Linked DNA regions of Coturnix japonica. The protein of the gene in region 4 binds, or shares a complex with, the protein of the main gene of each other region. Links are inferred from orthologs where the notes say so. Each region holds a gene or a part of one and is shown on either strand. Other genes may lie near its edges. The genes, in order: CNOT11, CNOT10, CNOT8, CNOT9, CNOT2 and CNOT7.

Evidence for each region.
Region 1: CNOT9 (region 4) and CNOT11 share a complex: the UniProt entries of both Homo sapiens proteins name them as parts of the CCR4-NOT complex. The link is inferred for Coturnix japonica from reciprocal best matches to the Homo sapiens genes CNOT9 and CNOT11.
Region 2: CNOT9 (region 4) and CNOT10 share a complex: the UniProt entries of both Homo sapiens proteins name them as parts of the CCR4-NOT complex. The link is inferred for Coturnix japonica from reciprocal best matches to the Homo sapiens genes CNOT9 and CNOT10.
Region 3: CNOT9 (region 4) and CNOT8 share a complex: the UniProt entries of both Homo sapiens proteins name them as parts of the CCR4-NOT complex. The link is inferred for Coturnix japonica from reciprocal best matches to the Homo sapiens genes CNOT9 and CNOT8.
Region 5: CNOT9 (region 4) and CNOT2 share a complex: the UniProt entries of both Homo sapiens proteins name them as parts of the CCR4-NOT complex. The link is inferred for Coturnix japonica from reciprocal best matches to the Homo sapiens genes CNOT9 and CNOT2.
Region 6: CNOT9 (region 4) and CNOT7 share a complex: the UniProt entries of both Homo sapiens proteins name them as parts of the CCR4-NOT complex. The link is inferred for Coturnix japonica from reciprocal best matches to the Homo sapiens genes CNOT9 and CNOT7.

What each region holds. Positions count from the first base shown.
Region 1 is NC_029516.1:120,253,613-120,257,795, reverse strand, and holds the start of CNOT11 (CCR4-NOT transcription complex subunit 11), read right to left. Parts: upstream 2,801-4,183; 5' UTR 2,729-2,800; coding exon 2,317-2,728; intron 2,171-2,316; coding exon 2,006-2,170; intron 1-2,005. UniProt on the Homo sapiens protein: Component of the CCR4-NOT complex which is one of the major cellular mRNA deadenylases and is linked to various cellular processes including bulk mRNA degradation, miRNA-mediated repression, translational repression during translational initiation and general transcription regulation.
Region 2 is NC_029517.1:37,323,541-37,327,040, reverse strand, and holds part of CNOT10 (CCR4-NOT transcription complex subunit 10), read right to left. Parts: intron 2,988-3,500; coding exon 2,826-2,987; intron 2,584-2,825; coding exon 2,433-2,583; intron 1,667-2,432; coding exon 1,521-1,666; intron 615-1,520; coding exon 528-614; intron 1-527. UniProt on the Homo sapiens protein: Component of the CCR4-NOT complex which is one of the major cellular mRNA deadenylases and is linked to various cellular processes including bulk mRNA degradation, miRNA-mediated repression, translational repression during translational initiation and general transcription regulation.
Region 3 is NC_029528.1:5,997,883-6,001,943, reverse strand, and holds the start of CNOT8 (CCR4-NOT transcription complex subunit 8), read right to left. Parts: upstream 2,801-4,061; 5' UTR 2,709-2,800; exon of another isoform or gene 2,420-2,708; intron 2,044-2,419; 5' UTR 1,958-2,043; coding exon 1,841-1,957; intron 1,339-1,840; coding exon 1,145-1,338; intron 446-1,144; coding exon 284-445; intron 1-283. Other genes in the region: FAXDC2 (fatty acid hydroxylase domain-containing protein 2), read left to right, coding at 3,583-3,824, 3,910-4,039. UniProt on the Homo sapiens protein: Has 3'-5' poly(A) exoribonuclease activity for synthetic poly(A) RNA substrate. Its function seems to be partially redundant with that of CNOT7.
Region 4 is NC_029522.1:24,240,973-24,245,119, forward strand, and holds the start of CNOT9 (CCR4-NOT transcription complex subunit 9), read left to right. Parts: upstream 1-1,347; 5' UTR 1,348-1,456; coding exon 1,457-1,480; intron 1,481-3,082; coding exon 3,083-3,262; intron 3,263-4,147. Other genes in the region: USP37 (ubiquitin carboxyl-terminal hydrolase 37), read right to left, coding at 785-940. UniProt on the Homo sapiens protein: Component of the CCR4-NOT complex which is one of the major cellular mRNA deadenylases and is linked to various cellular processes including bulk mRNA degradation, miRNA-mediated repression, translational repression during translational initiation and general transcription regulation.
Region 5 is NC_029516.1:32,450,366-32,453,865, forward strand, and holds part of CNOT2 (CCR4-NOT transcription complex subunit 2), read left to right. Parts: intron 1-1,022; coding exon 1,023-1,170; intron 1,171-1,794; coding exon 1,795-1,977; intron 1,978-3,500. UniProt on the Homo sapiens protein: Component of the CCR4-NOT complex which is one of the major cellular mRNA deadenylases and is linked to various cellular processes including bulk mRNA degradation, miRNA-mediated repression, translational repression during translational initiation and general transcription regulation.
Region 6 is NC_029519.1:56,937,584-56,941,083, forward strand, and holds part of CNOT7 (CCR4-NOT transcription complex subunit 7), read left to right. Parts: intron 1-1,198; coding exon 1,199-1,360; intron 1,361-3,500. UniProt on the Homo sapiens protein: Has 3'-5' poly(A) exoribonuclease activity for synthetic poly(A) RNA substrate. Its function seems to be partially redundant with that of CNOT8.

The DNA.
Region 1 (4,183 bases), on a different chromosome or scaffold from region 4:
GCTTTTGCATAGGAGTTTAATTGATACAGGATTCTACAGTTACAGCTATAAAGTCCTGTAAGAGCATCCCTCTAAAGCCCAAATTACAGAGCATAAACAAGGTACATAGAAGTAATACTAAATTTAGCATATGAAGCTGAAGACGTGAAAGAGTGGTAAAATAAACTATTACAACCAATCAATATTTGCACTGTCAAATTTTAGGTGTTCTTCTGTCACAGTCTCTCGCTCTTCCATACCTGAAGGCTTAAGGGCTGACCTTCCATATTCTCTGTATTAGTGAGAACCATGTTTTCTATTACCTTGGTAAAAGCAAACCAACAAAAGCCCAACAACATGCAGGAAAGCCAAGAGCCTGCCATACAATGCCATCTTATGTTCCTTCCCTCCCCCTCCCAAGGAGGATATTAAGTAGCAGATAAAGTCTCAAGTAATCTGAAGGCCAAATTTGCTGGTCCCACACGAAATCAACACCATTTCTTATCCGGATGATTAATTAAGTGTAGTGCCCTCAGCTTCAGTACCCCATCCTTATCTCTTTTAACAAAGCACACTTTTTTGTGCAGCCATATAACCCTTTGCAGCTCCTCATCCGTATGAAACTCTATTTCAGATCCATGAGAGACGCTTACAGCAAAACTCCTGTAGGTAACAAAAGGACACAGACACAAAGCTCTGCCTACTGCTAGTTTATACTAGAAATGTCCATCTTCCAATTATGTCAGCCCATGCAAAACACTGGAATATATGCTCAAACTTTATACGCTGTTGGAAATTCCAGCTTGTGAGTTCTACCATTCAGCTCCTACAGGGATCAGCTGAGTCAACGTAAGAAGTTCTCTGAGAAGAAAACAAGGTGACATACTGGGTGTCCTTCATTGTCATCCGTAGTCTAAAACTTACACCTATATAGGTATAAAGTCATGGATTGGTTGTATACCCTCAAATCCCCTCATCTCAAATGACTAATGATGCTTAATTAGAACAAAAGTTTAAGATACATTCTTACATGTTCCCGAACATCTCCAGGGATGGTGACCCCACCACATCCCTGGGCAGCCCAGTGTAAGCAGAAGGAAGGGGTGAGCGCTGTTAGCTAGAACACGGTTGTATTTCAGAAGAGAACACAGCAACTTGAACCAGTATGTTCAAATTGAAGAAAACAATTCCTACGAATGCAATCACTTATGTTTTATCAGGCTCTCTTGATCTGGAGAATCAAGACGCTCTATTCCAGCAACTGACATTCAATAGAAGAGCCTACAAGAAAAGTTACCACAGTGAATCATAGAATCATAGAAAGGCCTGGGTTGCAAAGGACCACAGTGATCATCTGGTTTCAACCCCCTGCTATGTGCAGGGTCACCAACCACCAGACCAGGCTGCCCAGAGCCACATCCAGCCTGGCCTTCAATGCCTGCAGGGATGGGGCATCCACAGCCTCCTTGGGCAACCTGTTACAGTACGTCACCAACTGAACTGAAGTTTAGAAGCCAAGTACTGTATTGTGCAGAATAGAGTACCTAGGAAATAAACTGCTCGAGTTGGCAACTCATTCTAAGCAATATTTTCCATTTCAGATCAGCTCTAGATGCAACTTGTTGCTCCACACGATCAGAACAATCCTATTCCTGCCCAAGAATAAGCACTGAGTTCCTTATAGCCTAGTAAAGGCAGAACATTTAGTGTGAGCTAACACTGCAAAACCTGACCACAGTCCAACTTTTGCCACACAGACAGAAGCACCTCAAAGTCAAACAGCAATTAACATTTCACAGAATCACAGAATGACCCGGGTTGGAAGGGACCTCAAGGATCATGTAGTTCCAACCCCCCTGCCTGGCAGGGCCACCAAACATACACATTTACTAGATCAGGTTGCCCAGGGCCCCGTCCAACCTGGTCTTGAACACCTCCAAGGACGGGGCATCCACAACCTCCCTGGGCAGCCTGTTCCAGGGCCTAACCACTCTCCTATCACAGCACAGCCACATCTCCTCCTTACCCGCCAATGCCAGCTGTAGCCCGCTTATATCCACCGACTGGGCCATGTTGCCAACGTCCATGGCAGCGATCTGGCGCGGGGTCTTCTTGAACAGCTCCCTGGGGGGGGCCAGCATCAGCTGCGAGAGGAAGAACTTCTCGGGCGGGGTTATGGGCGGCAAGAAGCCTGCGGGGAGAGAGGGGAGCGGTAAGATTCCTGAGGCCATCACTACCCCGCGTGCTCCTTAAGCGTGGAGAGATCATCTCGTACAGTAACGTTACGGCAAAACGAGTGACCCTTCCCGCTGTCACAGCCCCGGCCGTTCCCGGCACCTGAGAGCGGGGTGCGCTCCGCCTCGTCGCCGCCGCGTTCGGGAGCGGGGTTGAGCAGGTGGGCGAAGACAGCGGCGAAGGGGTTTGCGGCGAGGGGCTCGGTGCGGTACATCTCCCATAGCAGGTACAGGGCGGTGAGGCGCTGCGCGGGGCTGGGCAGCAGGTCGGGCTGCTGCAGCAGCAGCACCAGCACGGAGCCCAGGCGGAAATGCTCGGCCTTGCCGAAGTAGTGGTGGAAGGCGCTGGAGAGGCCCTCGAAGGTGCTGCCGCCCGCCTCCTCCGACACGATGCCCAGCAGGCTCGTCAGCTCCTTCGGCGACAGGCTCATCCTGCCGCCCGCCGCTCCACCGCCGCCACCCGCTCCTCCCGCCTCACCGCCCGCCTCGGCCGGGCTGCCCCCGCCCCCGGGCATCCGCCTCACGGCGCACGGCCCCGCCGCTGCACAACACCGGAAGGCCGAGCGTTGAGGCGCCGGACGCGCTTTACGGCACGGCAGGGGATGGGCCGGGACATTGGGCCGGGACTGGCGGGGCGGGGCGGGGACGGAGCGCGACGGGCGTTGGGGCCAGTAGGGGGAGCGCAGCGCGTTCCACGCACACCGCCCTGTGGTGCTGTCATCTGATAGGACTAGGGGTAATGGGATGAAAGTACAGCATAGGAAGTTCGAACTTCTTTACAGTGAGGGTGATGGAGCACTGGAACAGGCTGCCCAGGGAGGTGGTGGAGTCTCCTTCTCTGGAGATATTCAAGACCCGCCTGGACGCCTACCTGTGTGACGTGGTGTAGGGAGCCTGCTTTGGCAGGGGGGTTGGACTCCATGACCTCTAGTGGTCCCTTCCAACCCCTACAATTCTGAGATTCTGTGACCTGAAACTGAGCAGCGGATTTTGTGCTTCTGGTGTGTGCAAGTTGTCTGGGTGCTCATCCACTCTCAAGTAGATCTGTGGTGCTTCTGCTCAGGTAGCAACAGAAATAGGCAGCAGGAGGGAGGTGAAAGAAAAAGGTGGCAAAGAAGTGATATTAAATTGACCTGCTTCACAGCAAGTGTTTGAGTTTCTTCTAGCGAAGAAGCTGAATCCTTCAGCTAGGAAATAACTTCCACTGGTGTATTTTTATCCCACATTTCACATGGGAAGAACACGATGGGAAGGAATTAAGTCACACCTTGAAGTCAAAGGGGAAATCAGAACACATCCAGATTGTTTTGTTTATTCTCACAAGGCTTTTCTCTTGTACACAGATTCCTTCCCTTAGTAATTTAAGTGACCCTGCCCATCTACAGTGTATTTTTAATAGCAACAAATCTAAAAGGGTTGGGGAAGTTAGGTTTCGTGTGAGCCTCTCCATATGCAGCTTTCTAGTGACCATTGCATGTTATCTTTCCTAGTTCAGCTCTTCAGTTCAAAACCTACCATGAGACAACAGAAACAGATTTATTACTCCTGGAGTAATCAACAATATTGGCGTGCTAACAATGCCTAAAAGCCTTCCTGAGCTTCACTTGTTCATCAGACCTCAAAGATGTCAAGCGATTCTTGGATGTATTTTGTAAAAACACCCCAGATACGATTTTACAATGGCTTCATATGTGCTGTTCCATGGTCATTCAGAAACAAACATGGTTGGTGATAAATTCTTGAGCTTCTGTGAACTGTAGTGACACTTGGGTATTTTAAGGCAGTTTTCAAGTGTCAGCCCATGTCAAGTCATTATTATTATTTTCCCCAGGGAGGTGGTTGAATCGCCATCCCTGGTTGTGTTTAAGAGCCATTTGGATGTGGTGCTCAGGGATATGAGTTAGCAGAGGGTTGTTAGAGTTAGGGTGCTGGTTAGGCTGTGGTTGGACTTGATGATCTTCAAGGTCTTT
Region 2 (3,500 bases), on a different chromosome or scaffold from region 4:
AAATTTATACAATTCCTATCTGCAAGAGGCAAACGTGCATTTTATTCACTGGCAAACATTCAACAGCTTTACATTCAAATACCAAAACATCAGCACATAAAACAACAAATTAATTAAAATAATTTAACCTGTAAATCCCAGACAGTTACCTGTTCAACCAATAAGCAAAAGGTGATAGTGAAGCATATTGTTTCTTCACTCATTTTCCCAAAGAGCAGTACTGGGAAATAAAACCTCACTGATTTAGACTGTCTTGCAGACAAACAAATGTAAGATTATTAGAGCTAAATGCCATTTAACAAAATTATGTTAAGATGTAGGTATTGAAACTGGGATTTTTCTTAGGTCAGTTTCTCCTGTACGTGGATCTTAAAAAAAAGGGTCAGTTAAATTCATTTTTCTGACCTACAAAATGAAATTGAAGATGACAATATCACAATTCATGCTGAGCTAGATTTGAGGCAGGCAGCTCTCAGTTTTAAGGAAGACTGAATGGATATTCTTGTACAAATCACACACACACCCACCTGATGTATTTTAGATTTAGCAGCTTCTATTAAAGCTCCACTTTCAGCTTTTTGATTGGAGGAATCTTTATTTGTATTATTACCTGACTGTCAAAAGAAAACAAAAAACAGAAATAAATAAAAAAGCATTAGGAGCTTATGAAGGAAACCGTAAACTGAACTTAAAAGGTGATTGGTAAAAACAATCTCTTTTAATGATGAAAACTGATATTCAATAATGTTAAAAGAAAAACAAACAAATACAAAAATGTCCATATATTCCACCAAAAACTTGTAACTTAAGCTTTGCAATCAAAACCAAAGAAGGAGGACATCAGCCTATGAGGTACAGAGCTCTATATGAAGGTTAGCATTACGCTAATCTGCTCCAGCATTGAGGAATTCTAAGAATGCTCTTATTCAGAAATATAGTTTGCATGCTCCTGATTCTCTTCTCCATATTTTCTCTGGCAGAACTATTATATACTCAAAAATAAAGTTGTATCTTAAGTGTGACATTTTATCAACAGGAGAAGACAAAAGTGTCCACTTTCCACTTCCAAGCCACTACCCATTCTATAGTAGTTTCCAAAAGGTACATATCAAAGATTGCATTTGAAAGCCCACCTCATACTTCCAGACAATACATTAAAGGAATTTTTGACTTCTCACCCTGTGGCACTAATTTCACTGACATTTCAAACACAGAGTATCACACAGTCGTCATCTGGGACACCAGGAAAACCAAGTATATTTGGCACTGAAGACAACTGACTTTCTAATATAAGTCTCTGACTTGGGACACTTCTTAGCTCTTGGCACAAAAAGGGTGGGAAGGAAAGAACATACAGCTACTGTACACAATTAACTTGGTTATTAAAATGTGGCAGTTGTCTGAAGTTACAGATATCTTAACAGCTTTAAAATTCTGAACTATTTTAAAAGACTACTTTTGGATTTAATAAAAACATACCTTTGGTAAAGACAGCGGCATTCATGCCATTTTAAGCTTACCTCATTTTTTCCATTCTTGCTGTTATTGTTGCCCTGTGAAATCATTTTTTCCAGGACAGCAAGGAGATGCAAGGCCTTCTCAGCCTGGTAAGTCAGCAGGTATAAGTCCACAAGCAGGAAGCACACAGCCTGGGCAAACTTCTCCTCTATATCAAACAAAAGTAGATCAGTATTAGGACTGTAAGATCCTTCCTATCTAAACAATCACAGAACAAAAAAAGCAATAATTAGAAAACCACTTTAACAGCTGCAAAGTGCATCTACACAATGTTATGAGAAAAACCAAATACTAAATAAGAAAAAAAGATAAAAAAGCAGACACCTACATCACACAGACAAGTATGTTAACACAAAGAGGTAATTCTTTCATACCCATGTCATCTGAAAGCAAAGACCAAAGACAGCTTAAAAATCACTTCACATTGATTTTGAGTACTGATCTAAGCACACTGGCACCAAGGATCCAGCGTCTAAAGAGACTGATGGGCCATAAGCCTATACAGAATCTTACAGAACTTAAGGATTCCATACAAACACATCTCTGCATGGCTGGTTTCACAGAGTAAGCTCCACACAGGCATACTGAGAACTGAGGGAGAAACAGCATTATACTTACTGGATTTGTTGAGACCCACACATACAAACACTTCATCCCTGTTGCTTCATAAAATACCTCCTGAAGTTGTCAAATATCTGTTTTAGTTTTGTTATACTCATCTGCTAAGTGTCTCTGAAGCACCTTCCCACCCAAATTCAAATGCTGTCCTTATAAGTAAAGATTACTCATCATTCCTAAGCCTGTCTTTTTTTTATTACTATTATGTACGTTTACAAGTCACTTTTCTGATAAGCAGAGGAAGATCATTTACTCTGCCTCGTTACTGCACAAACAAAACTCTTCTGCCTACACACCGAAAGGCTCTATAAACTGGTACAGCTTCTCTCCAACTGATATAGCTTCAGTATACTGACGCAGATGATACAAAATAACAGCTTGATTGTAGTAAAGCATACTATTTTCAACATCATCTAAACCATCCATTTCTTCAACAGCAGAGTGAACCTGAAAAAAAACCCAAAACACACAGAACTGAATCTTGTTTATCCTTAAGCTTTCCAAACTTATGATGTTAAAGCATCAAATGTTTATTATAGAAAAATAATCCAAAGGTACTAATGAGCCTAAAGATAGGGCAGTAACAGTTACAAGTTAACAAAGGGAAGAGGCAAAACTTGTCTTCCTATTTCACTGGAAGATCCCATCCCCATTAACAATGCTTAAATATCATGCAGTGGTTGCATTACCTGGTTCTTCAGCTGGTTCAGGGTTTGTCTCAAATTGTCTGTTGTGGTCTGGTTACTTTTACAAAACTCTGCAACTGCAGTATTCAAAGTTATTTTGTAGTCATCTTTGTTTATGTCTTGAAGGGTGTTCAGGTGTTGCAAACAGGCATCATAATTTCCCGCCTGGAAACAGCAGGCATCACAAAGGGATTAGTTTAAACTTTGTATCCTCTAATAAGTCAATAATTTTTAATGGCAGCCTCCTCCTCTCTCTGAGTCTAGAGAGCAATGTAGGATTTCCCTGACCAACACAAGTAAACAGCTCCACACCAACTCCATTTGTCATGCAGACTGAAATGTATGAGAAGCAAGTCAAAGCTGAGGTCCTAACTAAAACTGAACAAGAATTCAATGGAGAAAGAACAAATAGAACAGTTAACTATTACAAACATGTTTCTACAAAAACTGTTGTTCTTTTGGCGTCATTATATCAAGCTTCAAGATTCTTTATTTCCTCAGTTTCCACAATCTGTCTCCATCACACGTACACTGAGCAGCTGCCTGTCTAACTCGTGGCCCACCTTTTTATGTTTGTCTCTCACTTCATCTTCAGACTGAGTTCCAGTTTAGCCCCTGGATGTCTGCTTAACACAGGCCGGCAGAAGAGGAAGGTTACACACCTTTCCTAACTTTCCC
Region 3 (4,061 bases), on a different chromosome or scaffold from region 4:
ACATTCGTCTCATTAGGGTGTTTTTCTATACTTACAACCTTCTTTTCCATAGAGGAAGATAACAGCAAAACACGCACAAAATACAGATCACAGAAGGTGCTGAGATAAAATGAAGTACCAGTACTTAAAGTTCGCCTTTACAATTTAAAACTTATATTAAGAACTGCACAGCTGCTAAAATCCATCTCCTTAAGGTCTGTTAGTCTCTATGGTCCAAAGCAGCACTATTTAAGCCAAAAAGAGGCATCTTGTTCTGTAGTACCAGTAATCACCTCAGACCTACCTGTGAAACGACAGCCATTTCACGCTGTCACTAAGGACGACCCCTGAAGTCATGAGCAACTCAGCAAAATGCAGGGTATCAATCCCTTCTTCTTCATGCTTCTGGAACTGCAGCCCAGAGCTTGCAAGGAGGTCTATGGAATCCTGAGAGTACATATCCTCCCTGAAGGAGAAAAGCAGAGCTTTGCAGTCAGGGTGCTAACAAGGAAGGCTCATTGCCAAAAGATTTCTCACAAGTTGCATTTTGGAAAATCAGAGTGACCTGCAGGCAATCCATCTCTGAGCTCCATGGCTGTGTCTCTAGGAAGCTCAAATCACTTTTAATACCATTACTCCTATGCATTTAACAAGCTATTCTGCAATCTTAACCAAATATTAATTCTGTCGCTATTGCCAAACCTGAAGAATGCCATAAAACCTTCACACAACAGACATCTTGAAAAGTAACACTGAGGGAACAGAAGTGCCACAGATGATGGGAGAGAAGTCAACAAAACTCATATCAAACACGATAACTTTGAGTCACAGTGTCAATAAAACTCAAACCAAACATGATAACTTTGAGTCAAATAGCGTTCAGTGTCAAAACCTCTTTGTTATGACTCCAATGCTTTTAGGAGGCTGACAGTTGTGCAAGTAAACACTGCCACTTCTGTTTGCAAGAACTGCATGATCAGCTTATAGTAAGTATATAGTAAGTATACATGCATTTAATTGATTACATAAAATATATGGAAATGTATAAAAAGCACGTAAAGTTTGAGATCATAACATCATTCCAGAAATACTGCAATGCCTGTCATGCCGGCATTGAGCCTCACATAATCTCTTCTGGTGTTGCTCCCTAATGCAGAAGACTCACGTGAGGTTGAATTTGAAGTTAAACTGCCAGGTGTTGATCCCAGAAGGATACTCTCCTTTCTCGTTTGTGAAAGTCAGGCCCAGTTGGATGATTTTCAGAAGGTCCACATTACAGCGAAGAAGCTGATACTGATAGTCTATGGAACTGCGGAATTCCCCAATCGGCCTTACAACAACCCCAGGAAACTCCGTGTCCTAGAAAAGGAAGAGGAAACCTTATGGCTGCAAATCAAGGCAGACCCTAACGACAAAGCAAGCAATTTGTGCTCTCAAGTCAAATGACATCAATTGACTCAGAACACACAAAAACTTTCATAGAGGATCCAGCACATGAGAGAATTTTTGCCTTCACATCTTCCTGTACCCACTGCCTCAGCACAGCAATTACAACAGGCCAGAATGAGATGATATTGAAGCAAGGCAGCTCGTTTCCAATCAACATACAATATGAAATATGTAGATACACATTTACTGTTTACTTACACAACTTTGTTCTGCGCTGAATTCTATGCGCTCTGAAGGCACGTGTATTTTTACATCATGCTTTCATTACAAATTTCTCTCCTATCTTTGAGTTTAGCATCCCCACTCAAAGCTGTCATAACCACCACAGAATCATCGACTCTGGAAAAGATCTCTGGGTCCAACTATCGTTAGCCCCTATTCCTTGAATAAGACAAATGAGTCAAGCATTTACCATTGCGATGTAGCTGTAACTCAGCACAATCTCTCGGATTTTCCTCATCTCCTCCTCCAGGTTGTTGGCCCACACCTCACAGATCACCTGGCTGTTCTCCGCCAGGGCTGCTGGCATCCTGCCGGGCACAGGGCACAGCCAGCTCCCCCCAATCCTTCAGATGGCCGCGTTACAACCGAAAGCTGCGAGATCTAATCAGTGTGCTGCAAGAAACAGACAGAACGGAGCTATGAGTGAAAAAAGAGCTAGAAAAAAGGAACGAGCTGCACAATACAGCACAATACAGCACAGTACGGCACAGCACAGCACAGTACGGCACAGTACGGCACAATACGGCACAACACGGCACAATATGGCACAGTACGGCACAATATGGCACAGTACGGCACAATATGGCACAGTACGGCACAATATGGCACAGTACGGCACAATATGGCACAGTACGGCACAATATAGCACAATACGGCACAATATAGCACAATATAGCACAGTACGGCACAATATGGCACAGTACAGCACAACACGGCACAATACGGCACAGTACGGCACAATATGGCACAGTACGGCACAATACGGCACATCATCACCACCATCGGCCTCCCCGAGGCAGCCGCCAACAAACAACGGCCCAGCGCCGCCCCAGGCCCGGTTGAGGCCTACACGACCCGCGCCGCCTCAGGGCAGGGGCCCACCCGGACACGGCCGCCACCGCCGCCCTCCACCGCACCGCGAGAGGCCCCGCACCTACCGGGACCTACCGGGACCCGCTGGGACCCTCCGTGCCTCCCTTTCCCGTCCCGTCCCGCCCCGCTCTCCCGCTGCTCCGCTCCCCATCTCCTTCCCCTCCCCCAGGCGCTACCTGCCCTACCCGGAAGTTGTGGCCGTGCCTCTCTCTCTCTCTTCAGCGCATGCGCGATGACGCCTCAGGCTGAGGTGGGATTTCCGGGTTTGGAGCTTTGTTCTCGCGAGATTTCCGGTACAGCCTCAGCGGCGCGCGGTGCGGTGTGTGGTGGCGCGCGCTTGGTGCGCGCTCCCGCGGAGGGGGAACGGGGAAAGCTGCGCATGCGCAGTGCTGGTGTCCTTGTGTGTCCGGCCGTGACGTGGCGCTGCGCTGTGACCCGGTGTATAAAGCAAAGCAAGGCATCCTTTAATCTTAAAGGCTGTAAATCCCTCAGATAGAAGCTATATCTGAACTGAACGGGGGTTAAAATGAACGCTGACATTGCACAGTTCACTCTTATCGCCTGCTTTAGCATATTAGATGAATTATGTCACCAGAGCGAGCCTAAATAACATGCAAATAACCCAAATAACTGGGCAACCTGTATATGGGGTAAGTGGTGCAGATTGGGGCCATATCTGCATCAAGTTACACCTCGCAGTGCTGTAATTACAGGCGTTGTGGTCTATAAGTGCATTGAAACACCACTGAGCACAACCACATCGGAACCTGTTTGCATCTCATCCCATAGACAGGACCTATAGACGGAGCTTTGATGCAGGGACAGCTGGTGCAGGTTATATATGTAGTGAGATGTGCTGCTGGCTTTACAGACTGCCCCGTAACTCACACGCATTGCACAAATGCGCCTTTGAGCCATTCGGTTGCATTGGCATCAGCTGCTTTGTGCTGAAAACACTAGTTAGTTTCTGGTAGAAATGACTTATCGTTAAGGTATAGCTGCCTTTTTTATTCACATATACAGCCATTCAACCCTGATGACAAACTCCTACCTACAGAGATGTATTCTGAGCACTGGGCTGAGTGGCAACAGGGAGCAGTGCCAGCACTAACAGTGACACGGTGCTGGCTTCACATGACTTGTCTGGGAGGGGACAGCCAACTCCTGCTTGGAAACACCCCGCTGTTAAACCCTCATAAAGTCTCCCCAGCAGTAGTGAAAGGTGAGGAGTTGTACTGTGTACAAAGGACCTCTACTGGGCTACAGCCAGCAGGAGGTGAGCAAAGAGACGGAGCTCAAAGGTATCGTGGCTTAAAAATACCCGATTGAAACCTTAGAAATAACTAAAGGGCAATGTCCTGTGTATGTTTAAAATACAACTGTAAGCTTTTCCAGGAGCTGTAATTGCCTTCTGAGCTATGCAGGGCTTGGCACAATAGGGGAGCCACCAGACACAGCATCTAGTCCTGTATCTGACTGTACAGCGTGGCTGATGCACAGCTTTTGTGGACAGCAGGTAGGTTATCCTTATATTTTCT
Region 4 (4,147 bases):
CCTTCTCTCCATTAATTCTGCTGCACCACTGTATTACGACATGAACCAACTGCTGCTTCCTGCCAGGTCACTCACAAGGAGGTGGAGGTGGAAAAGGAACCATACGTGTGTCAATACAAAAAGTCATTTTCAACTCCTGCGTCCTTTTGCACTTAGTTATTCATCTCTGTCACTTCTGTGGCCTTTCCTATGAACTACACGCTGCTACACAATGACATCCTTGCAAGTTGAAACCACAGCCAAACCTCGCACTGCAGAGCAAGAGGCTGCCCATCAGATTGGAGCCTCCTCCTAAAGTGGCCCAACCTGAGTATTGCCACACAGCTGATCCAAATAGTGATGGCCAATCCAAGTGAAAACCCTTCTCCAAGCTCCCACAGAGCGCCAGAGCCAGAAGAGAGGCAGACACAAAGCCTATCCCTGCAGGCATAGACAGCTGCTGGGCAGGCTCCCACAGAACCACAGCTCCAGGCGTTAAACTACCAACAGCAAAACTCAACCTGGTAGAACAGAGCATGAACGAGAACCTTGGGAAGGCACATAAGGAATAAAGGAGCACAGCACCATGGTCAAACAGTGGGATTCCACCTCCAGGCTGCACACAAAGAGAGAACATCCCAAAACAAGACTTGAGCCACGGCTCCACACCTGCAGCTCGGCCCTTCTGATCCAGCAGATGCCATAACACCAGAACTGAGTAACTCAATGCTACACCGAGGGATGGCCCTACTGAAGGAGGCAGTATGAGCAGTGACAGCCGGTAACCGGGCACGGCAGCACCCACCTGGAAGGTCTTTGGGATGCCCCTCATGCCGTAGTGCACCACCAGGTTGACTTTGTTATCCTTCTCCACCACCTCGAAGCAGCCCTCCTTCCACCTGGTCACTCCGGTCTGCATGCAGTACAGCCTCACGGGGCCGTGTACTTTCAGCAGGGCCATGGCGGGGCCTCACCGACACAACCTGCGGGGATCACAACACGTGTGGAGCGGGACCGCCACGGACCGGCACTCACCGACACGCCGAGCCGCGGCCTTCCCGGGAGTAAAGCGGGGAGAAGCTGAGTGGGGTCGGTGAAGGGGGAGGCGGCCCCTGTGGACGCGGCCCCGTCACGGTGTGTCGGTGCGAGGCCCCGCCGTGAGGGGCCGCGTTGGCTCCCGGTACCTGCGGGGCGCGGCGCCGGATGGCGGGAACCGGCTCCCCGCGCGACGCACGGCACGCAGGCGCGCGCGCGCGCCGCTGACGTCAGCACGGCGGCGCCATTCCCGGCACGCCCCGCAACTGCGCATGCTCAGAAGCGGTGCTTTGCCTTTCCCCCCTCCCACCGGCGCGCATGCGCAGTTAGAGAGCGGCCTGCTGCCCGCTGCGGGTTGTGCGCATGCGCAGCTCGCCCTCCTGCAGGCCGCGTCCCCTTCCCGGTGTGTCTCTATGGCGGCGGGGGCCTGAGCGGCGGCACCATGCACAGCCTGGGCACGGCAGCGGTGAGACGGCACCGGGACGGGGATCGGCCTCTAGGGGGGGTAACGGGGCTCTAAGGGCTACTTCGGCGGCCCAGCTCCTCGTTCGGGTCTCAGGAGACGGCGGGAGGGCGAGGGGGGGGGAGGCCGCCTCAGAAGTTGTGTGTAGGCCTTGGGCTTCCACACAGCTTTAGGGTGAGCAACAAGGAAAGAGGAAATGAGGAGGAAATGCGGCTTTTGGTTTTAGCTAGAATGGTGACTGAGCATAGTAGAGCCTTTGGGCTGGGGAGATAGCAGGACACGGGGAAATGGTTTTAAGTTGAAAGAGGGAAGATTTAGGTTGGATGTTAGGGGGAAGTTCTTCACTAGGAGAGTGGTTAGGGCCTGGAACAGGCTGCCCAGGGAGGTTGTGGATGCCCCGTCCTTGGAGGTGTTCAAGGCCAGGTTGGACGGGGCCATGGGCAACCTGATCTATGGGGTCTCTATGGGGGTCTATGGGGGTCTATGGGGTCTCTATGGGGGTCTATGGGGTCTCCTGGGCAACCTGATCTAGTAAATGTGTATGTTTGGTGGCCCTGCCAGGCAGGGGGGTTGGAACTACATGATCCTTGAGGTCCCTTCCAACCCGGGTCATTCTGTGATTCTGTGAGATAAGACTGATACTGGACATTGTAAGCTTAATAGCTTGGAAAATCTGCTTAGTGCTCCCTAGGGATCGTAGACACACCGTTGTGCTTTTAAAGGGTCGATATATTTAAGCTTGCAGGAATTGAAACTTACAGAGAGTCTGGCAAAATAGATGGAAGCTTTAGATAACATGGCTATAACAACGTTAGTGCTGCACTGCCATCCCAAATGGAAACAAATGAGCTCAGTCTGTTCGCCCTCTCTCTCCCAGCTGTGGTATCGGTGTTACCATTGGGATTGTGTTCCTTGTACAGCAGATTGTTAGGGTTATTATTTCTGTGTGAGGTTCTAGGGGGGGGAAATGAAGTAAAATAGAGTAGATGAGGTAAAAAAAGGGGATAGGAGGAAAGGTGAGCAGGTAGAAGGTATTAGAGGCCTGAGATGTCGGGATTGGTAACAGCATATCAGCTTATATTGTAGCCTAAATGGCAACTTCAATCCTCTATATATCCCACAGGATCATAAGCATAATGTGCGGGTAGCTGAGCAGGGAAACTGCTGTAGGAATAGGAGAGAGAAGGAAGGCTCTGGGGGGGTGTCCCAAAGACATGGTCTCCCTCCAGCAGCAATGGGAACTTCATTTGGGTTCCTGTTGCTGTCAGTTCCTGAGCTCTGTTGTGTTCACTAAGGAGCATTGCTGGCACTGTGGTACATGAAGCATTTGCTTTAATGCATGTTTGCCTCCAAATAGTTGGTCTGTATCACCACGCTGTCTGTGTAGGCCAGAAAGTGAAACATCTGTCTTTCAGCTAGGCGAAGGACTAAGCTTAATCTAAAGGATCATCTATATCCACAGTTTCTTAATGCAGCTTGAGTCCCTCCCTCCCCCAGCCACTTCCTCAAGACCTTTTTATTTCTTTACCTTTGAGGCTGTGAGAAGCGTTTGGGTGGGACTTTGCTGTAACAGCTGTGACTGAAGTTTTCCTGTCTCCCTCCCAGCCTGTGCCTACAGCACTGGCTCAGGTGGACCGTGAGAAGATCTACCAGTGGATCAACGAGCTGTCCAGCCCTGAGACGAGGGAGAATGCACTGCTGGAGCTGAGCAAGAAGCGCGAGTCTGTGCCTGACCTTGCCCCCATGCTGTGGCACTCATTTGGCACCATTGCAGCACTCCTTCAGGTGGGTAGGGCAGAGCTCAGCTTTGTTTCGTGGCACAGTGCTGCCACACTGCACAGCTCTGTGTGGCCACGGGGTGGATCTGGGGAGGCGCTGATAGTCCCTTCGTGCAATTACTGTGAGTATGATGGCTGCTGGATCACATGGTGAGAGGAACCACACAAGGAGGGCACTTCTAATGTTTTCCATTAGTCATTTCTTGCAAGGTAATGTCCTTAGAGACCAGGCCATAAGATTGTTGATGAGATGGCTTAGACAGGTGAAAGGGGAGTAGCCGAGTTCTTCTGTGTATGAACTTCTTGTAGATAATATTCCTTTTCTATTTGTAGTGGCATAGCAGAACCACAATAGTTTTACTCCTAACATCTCTGCTTTGTGCTGTGGAGTTTTTTTTCTTTATTTTCCTATGAGTCTGAGTACTACTTGATCAAAAGGTTGCCATTACAGAGCCCTCATGGGGGCAGTATGGAAGTACTTGTAGCTCACTGCTCCAGAGTACCTTGCAAAGAAAACTAAGTGCATTTCTGGTCAAAGCGAGTGGCTCAGCTGAGCTCTGGGTAAACTACAGCTGATGTCTGCCCACCTCTGCTGGATCTTGTCATTTCATTTGAAGAAGAAAGGAAAATGGTGCAGGATAGGCAATGGCAGACTGTGAAAACAGGGTGGCCCTGAAACAAGTGAAGAAAATGCTAAGGGAGCCATAGCTGGAAACAGACAGTTTTCTGAATTGGATTTCTCACCTTCAGCTGCTTCCCCTTCATTGAGTTAGAGGAGTACCAGCAGCTATGGTATGAATGAAGTGCGTGTGCTCTGCCTCTAGGCACAGGAGCAGCATTCCTCTTTGCTCCAAGAATTCAAAACAAAGTCATCCCCACATCCGCAAAGAGC
Region 5 (3,500 bases), on a different chromosome or scaffold from region 4:
TTTAAATTCTCTGAGGCTTCCTCAGCAGCCTCACACCAAAGCGATAGGACTGTTATTTATAGCTATCGCGTTTTAGATGCAAGCATGTTTCTGTTGATCTGCTGCACTAAATGGCTTTCTCTTGTCTTTGGACATAATTTTAAAACTTCATGAATACAGAAAAGGAACGTGGAAACGATCAGAAGCTCTGTAAAGTATTCTGACGTTTTGAGACTGGTTGTTTTTTGTTCTTCTGAACTGAGATGGTTTCTTTTTATCGCGCGTTAATAAAGTACTTTCGTAATTTCACAGCACCCAAATGCTTGCATAGAAAATAATTTTTATGACAATGTAAAAAAAAACAAAACAAGCAAGCCCCCAAACCAGCCCTGTGTGCTTTTAATTCCTAGTTGAGGATGCTTAAATTCTACTTGCTTTCAGTCCTCAAAAAATTAAGTTTAACCTGACTTTGGACACTGTAATTGCCTTAACAAAAAGAAGCAACTCAGACTTTATAGAGAAGTGTCCTAAAATATTCATTCCGATGCTCTGAAAGCCATGTTATGAAATATTCCTAGTTTTATTTTTTCTTAGTTATAGGTTTGCGTATTTTTTGACAAGCTAGATGGACGTTCTAGATGCTGGCCAAATATGTATCCATTTATTCAATTGCAATAACCTCGTTCTTCAGTGGAGATGTTTATTTTCTCAGAACACCGACTTTTTAAATATGTGGATTTCCATGTAGATGTCCTCGTCAACAAAACCACAGCTCCCCCTCTTCTATTCAGAGTACATCTCAAAGGAAACAAAATCTTGTTAGTGACTTAAAGAGCCTTTCTCGAGTTTGACAAGAATGGGGCTATGTGTGAGGTAACTGGGCTTGTAGTACGCAAGCAAGGACTTCATATTACGCTGCACTTTCCTACAGTCTTTACACTTTTTGAGGTTGTCAGCATAAGTTGTTTCCATCCACACCTGATGGCTAAGACTTTGTTCCGGATCGCTATGTATCTCCACCCCTCTGAATTTTTTTTCAATAGGTGCACTAGGCCTTCCAATGAGGGGAATGAGCAACAATACCCCTCAGTTAAATCGCAGCTTATCACAAGGCACTCAGTTACCGAGCCACGTAACGCCAACAACAGGGGTACCAACAATGTCACTTCACACGCCTCCATCTCCGAGCAGGTATTTATTGATAGCCAATGTTTCTGCAATTGTGTCTTTCGGCAGAGCACTTACTAAATGTTCTGCGTATCGTGCCACAGCTACTTTTAGACTGATTAATTAAAAAAGAAAAACAGTAATTTTTTATTGACCACTGCCTGTGTTAGGTAAGTAATACCGTAAAACGGTAGGATAAGACTTAACTTAAGACAGTGTTTGATTTTGTATGTAAAGGATGTAAAGTTGTTGGCAAATTCTGCTTCAGAATGTAAGAGTCTGTTTTTCAGTTGTTCTGGTAAACAAATGGTAAATGTTTTTATATGGCTGTATTACAGTATGAAAATATTAAGGTAGTAGGTCTGAAGTGCTCTTTAAATAAGAGTTGTAACGCCTCTTCAAAAGCATAGTACTTAAGTATTTATCTGAACCTGACCGAGGACTTGATTGGTACGCAATGGGTCATCTGGTGTTTCTGAAGAAATCCAAAACTACGTTAATTATAGAGAGTACTCCAAACATACAGTGTTGAGTCTAAGCACAAATTAAGTTGCTACAACTCTTAAGTGTATCCTACATGAGTAATTTAAATGAGTAACCAAATACTATTGTACAGATTCATCTCTGTGGATGGTTTTTCTCTTTCAGGGGGATATTGCCTATGAATCCTAGGAATATGATGAACCACTCCCAGGTTGGTCAGGGCATTGGAATTCCCAGCAGGACAAACAGCATGAGCAGTTCAGGGTTAGGCAGCCCCAACAGAAGCTCTCCAAGCATAATATGTATGCCAAAGCAGCAACCCTCTCGACAACCTTTTACTGTGAACAGGTAAGGCTGTTTGGTCAGACCATGCCTGTGCAGCCATGGGCGTGCTTAAGATCTGCTTTCAAAGTCTATTTTTTTATCCATTAGAATAAAACTTGAAAGTGTTGCTTTGCGTCTTCCGGTCTCTCAACGCTAACTTTCCAAGCTGCTGTCAGTAGTTGTGCAGCCATTTTTGAAGCCTTTCAGCTAAATTCTGTTTCTGACTACTTAATTTCTACTATTCCTTCTTTAAAGTATGTGATGTTTCTAGTATGTTCCCAAGTTTATTTTTGAAACAGACTTTGTTTTTTGTATGTATACATCTTCTTGAAAACTCTCCATCTATGAGTTTGGGAAGAATTTAGTCAAGAGATAATCCAGAATAACTGTTTCAAATTGTGGTTCTGTAAGAATAGTTAACTGATTTGGACACAATGGAGACCTCATATTTTACTTTAAATTCTGGAATAATATGGAAAGCAGTGGTTTGCAACTCATCCAAGGTGCTTGTTTTGATGCCAGAATTTTCTCAGTTACTTCTGCTCTTTTTTTCTAACTCTGGGCAAGATTGTGGCATCAGAAATCATTGTGCTTTACCTGTCTTGTTGATATGTTTATGCTTAGTTTATATTGATAACCTTGTAATAAAATGTGTGTCAATTCCAATTACATAGTGTGTAATCAGCTTCATGCAGCTGACTGTTTTCCAGACTTCTTTCCGGAGCCTCATGATCCCTGTGTTCCCAGGTCATTCCTCTTTCTCGCTTCATGCCCTAGGCTAGGGGACTGAGCTCAAATACACTCCTGGCAATCAAATGCTACCTCTAACCCAGTGTAGTATTTTTACTAATCAAATGAAAAAAAATGGATGCCAGTTATCTGAAACTTGATCAGTCTTCTTAATTCTGTATCTTTGCATTATGATGTAGGCATAAGTAACCTCTTTCTTCATCACAGCAATAGAGGTTTGATAATAGTAATTTGTGTTCTTGGAGTATGAGAAGACTTTGGTCAGAGACCACTCTGAAAGTAATGCCTCCTATTTTATTTCCATGGAAACTACAACAGATATAGAGACTATAACAACTATAACAACAGAGAATTTGATGGAGCAAATTCTCAGCTACGAAACACCATTTTTCAACATAGTCACTGCTGTTAGCTATGCATATTTGCCCATGATGAGCAAGACCTTGCATGCCATGCTTGTCAAAATCTGCACCAGCTGAGGTGACCCACTCACTGCCTCAGTGTGCTCACACCCACTGTTTGGTCTCCGTAAACATTCAGTAAGTTCCAATGGAAGCCATTTATTCCAGATGGAGGAATTCACTTCCACACCTTTGCTTATCCGTGCTTCCATCTCAGGTGCCATTGTGTCAGACTGCCCCTCTGCTGCCTTCTGTCACACAGCAACAACATGTAACAGAATATTGGTGGGATGGTTCAGCCCCCACTGCCATACCACCAACATCTGCTTCTGATGTTGTGGGATAACACAGTAAAATAGGAGGCATTTCTTAAAGAGCGGCCGTTGTGTCTTGGCC
Region 6 (3,500 bases), on a different chromosome or scaffold from region 4:
CCTGATTAGTGCAGAGGAACAGACTAGAAATGAACTTCTATTTATTTATTTAGAGCATGATAGGCATGTTTGTTTTGGATGGCTCTTTAATGTGTTATGGAAATGGACAGGTGTTGGGAAGCTGATGCCTTAAAGCTGGGGAACTAATGAGCAGCTGTGTGGGAGAGAAGGAAAAAAAGATACAAGTCCTGAGAATGCATTTCTCTCTTGATGAGTTATGACTTGCTATTAGGAATAAGAAATGTAAATCTACAGCTGAACCTAGTAGTCCAGTGCGTATCTGTTTTATTTCTTGAGGTGTTTTTTTTTCCCCAGTAAAATAGAAAAGCGTATAGTGGAGAGACTTTGTGAAAGAATATGTTATAGACAGTAATACGGATAACATCTAAGTAGAGCCAGCTTTGTTTTTTTTTTTTTGTTTGTTTGTTTTTTTCTTCCCCATTATATATTTCAGTGATTTTGAAGATTAGATTGTACTTTTAAAGTTTTATCCATTTCATTACAAAATACCCAAGAGTTCATAAAAATGGGGGTGGTGAATGAAACAAATGCAGTAATAAAAGGGATCAAGTAAAGCACATTGGGATTTTTTTCCCTCCCTGTTGAACTGTAGGTTCAAAATCTGTCTGTTAAAGAGAAGCTGAAGTTGATGATTTAGAACAAAAATGATAGACTGAATTTCAAGAGTTGACTTACTGGGGCAAGTACTGAATTTCTAATTGTAATGAGGGGGTTTGATGAGAATTGATGCAAGCTTAAACTACAGATAAAAAGAAGGGGTTTGAAAGCAGAACCGATCCAGCACTGGAATTTGGATATTGATGTTAAATCTTTAATATAGCTGGTGTCAGTGCTCCAACTGTTTTGTTACTGAATGAGATCTGTTACCTTAAACTGTAAGGTAACTACATTTGTACACGCAGAGTCTGCAAAAAGGGAGTTCTGTGTAATGAGAAGAGGAACAGGAAGTAGATTTTTGTGATGGAGACTGGAACAGAATTGCTAGGAATAATTGACTGCTAATGAAAGTTAACAAAGCTATGAAAAGTGGTCCTTTTTATAATAAACAAGGAACAAATTCAAGTTGCTGCACCTCTACTGCTATTATAGTCTGTGTAATGGATGGGGAAAAAGAAGTGTTAATGGATTTGTAATCAGCGAAGCCTGTAGATTGAAAAAATGTTCTCTCTGTTTTTAGAGAAGATATGTATGCACAGGACTCTATCGAGCTGTTAACAACGTCTGGTATCCAGTTTAAAAAGCATGAGGAAGAAGGAATTGAGACGCAATACTTCGCAGAACTGCTAATGACATCAGGAGTTGTACTATGTGAAGGAGTCAAGTGGCTTTCATTTCACAGGTAAATTTTGCATGTTAAGTAATTGTTGTCTGTTTTGGTAACCGGGTTTTATGTCTCCTGTTTTAAGCAGCGTACATCTGCAGGTACATATCATATATCTTAATTGGTAAGACTTAGGAAACTATTTCTGCAATGTATGGTGTTGTGTGTTAGAAAAGTAGAGTGTATGGGATGGTAATGGCATCGATAATGGCTTTTTAACAGCAAAACTGTAAGCAAACAATGCATGGAACGCCTAGACCAGCAGGTGGCATTGTGTCTTTAATATCGGGTGTGTTTGCATAATAATAGTAGTGGTGATTTAAAAACAAACTATTTGTAAGCATTTCCTGAGCAAATATAGCTTGTTTCATGGGCAATAGCACAGAATTATTAGTAAAGAGTTTTAGGAAGCAGAGTTATACTTATTGTAGATCTGTTAATATGGGCAGATAAAAATTCTTCAGTTTAGGAGAGCCCTGGTAGAAGTCTTAATTCAAGCAGCAGCAGTGAATATACTCTATCATTCATTCTATTGCAGGAACATATTTTCCAAGTAGAAATAGAAATGAGAATGCCAAAATTCTGTGAATCTGTCAAGATGTGAGGACAGGCTGAGAAAGCTGGGTTCTTCAGCCTAGAGAACAGAGGGCTTTGGGGGGAGGACCTTATAGTGGCCTTCCAGTACCTGAAGGGGGCCTACAGGAAAGCTGGAAAGGAGCTTTTCCTAATGGCATGTAGTGACAGGACGAAGAAAAATGGTTTTAAACTGGAAGAGGGTAGATTTAGACTAGATATTAGGAAGGAATTCTTTACTTTGGAGGCGGTGAGATGCTTGAACAGGTTGCCCAGTGGGGCTGTGAATTCCCCTTCCCTGGAAGCACTCAAGGCCAGGCTGGATGGGGATCTGAGCAACCTGGTCTAGAGAGAGGTGCCTATAGCAGGGGGTTGGAAATAGATGGTCATTAAAGATCCTTCCAACTCAAATTGTTCTATGATTCTATGACCTTCTGTTAATAAGACTTAAACCTTTAAGACTTAGGCATTAGTAATTGCATGTTCAGCTAGATGCCGGGGGTAGCTTGCACTTTTTACAGGCAACAGCAAGTTTAGAGACTTTTTGCTATGTATTGAGTATGTATTGGCATCTTAAATGCTGTTCTCTATGCAAGTCAGCAAAAGTAGAATAAATTTTTTAGCTGAAAATTGGAGGTTTCTTTGCAGTCATTCATATTTATCATGTGTGTTACATTGGTGAGTGGTATTATGTTTGTTATCAAAACTGGAGGGGGGAAACAACAGACCAAATTCTTTGTCCTTAACTGTGAAGTATTAGAAGGGGAGTTTGGAGGAGAGAAAGGTGCATGAAGTATTTAGTCAGAAGTATTTAAGCAACAAGTGGAAAATTGTACATAACAAGGAAAGTAATTGTACGCTTCCCCTTGTGGAAAGAAAAACGAGGAATGAAACTATACAGATGTAACATCTGAATACAAGCTTAGATGAAGATTCTTTGTCTTCGTAGGGGCTTAGAAAGGCATGTTGTTACGTCTTGACACCTGGCAAAGCTGTGGTGCTCAGTATGTGAATTAATGGCCCCTTATACTAAGATTCAGTAAAGTTCAAAAGATTTCTATAAATAATGATATTAAAACAAAAACATTTTGTATAGGGCTGTTAAAGACTCAGATCTGATTGTCTGAAATCATTAAGCAATATATTCCTTAGTAGAAACACTTCTCCCGTTGGACTTTCTTAAAAAATCATCTGTAAGTATGCTTGTTGCCTAATCTGCTTCCAGTGTCTTCCATTCAGGGCTGTCTGCTTATGTTATGTCTTCTCTCTTGAATAATCTTTCTCTGTCTTTCAACTCCAGCAGCAGCTTGGGGAAAATAATGGAATAAGAAATGCCATTGACTGTTTCAAAATAGCCCCAGATTCTGAAGGGGTGTTGAATTAAGTTTCTTTCCTCATTTTAAACCCATTATTAAGTGCAAATTTATAATTTACACATCACAACAGCAGAATAACTCGGGTTGTTCAGGAGAAGAGCTGAGGTATGTCAGGCCTGCAACCTGTGTACCAACAGGTGTTGGCACGAAGAAGCAACTACAGCTATCAAGTGTTGTTCTGCTGTTAACTTAAAGGATGCAGTGTAACC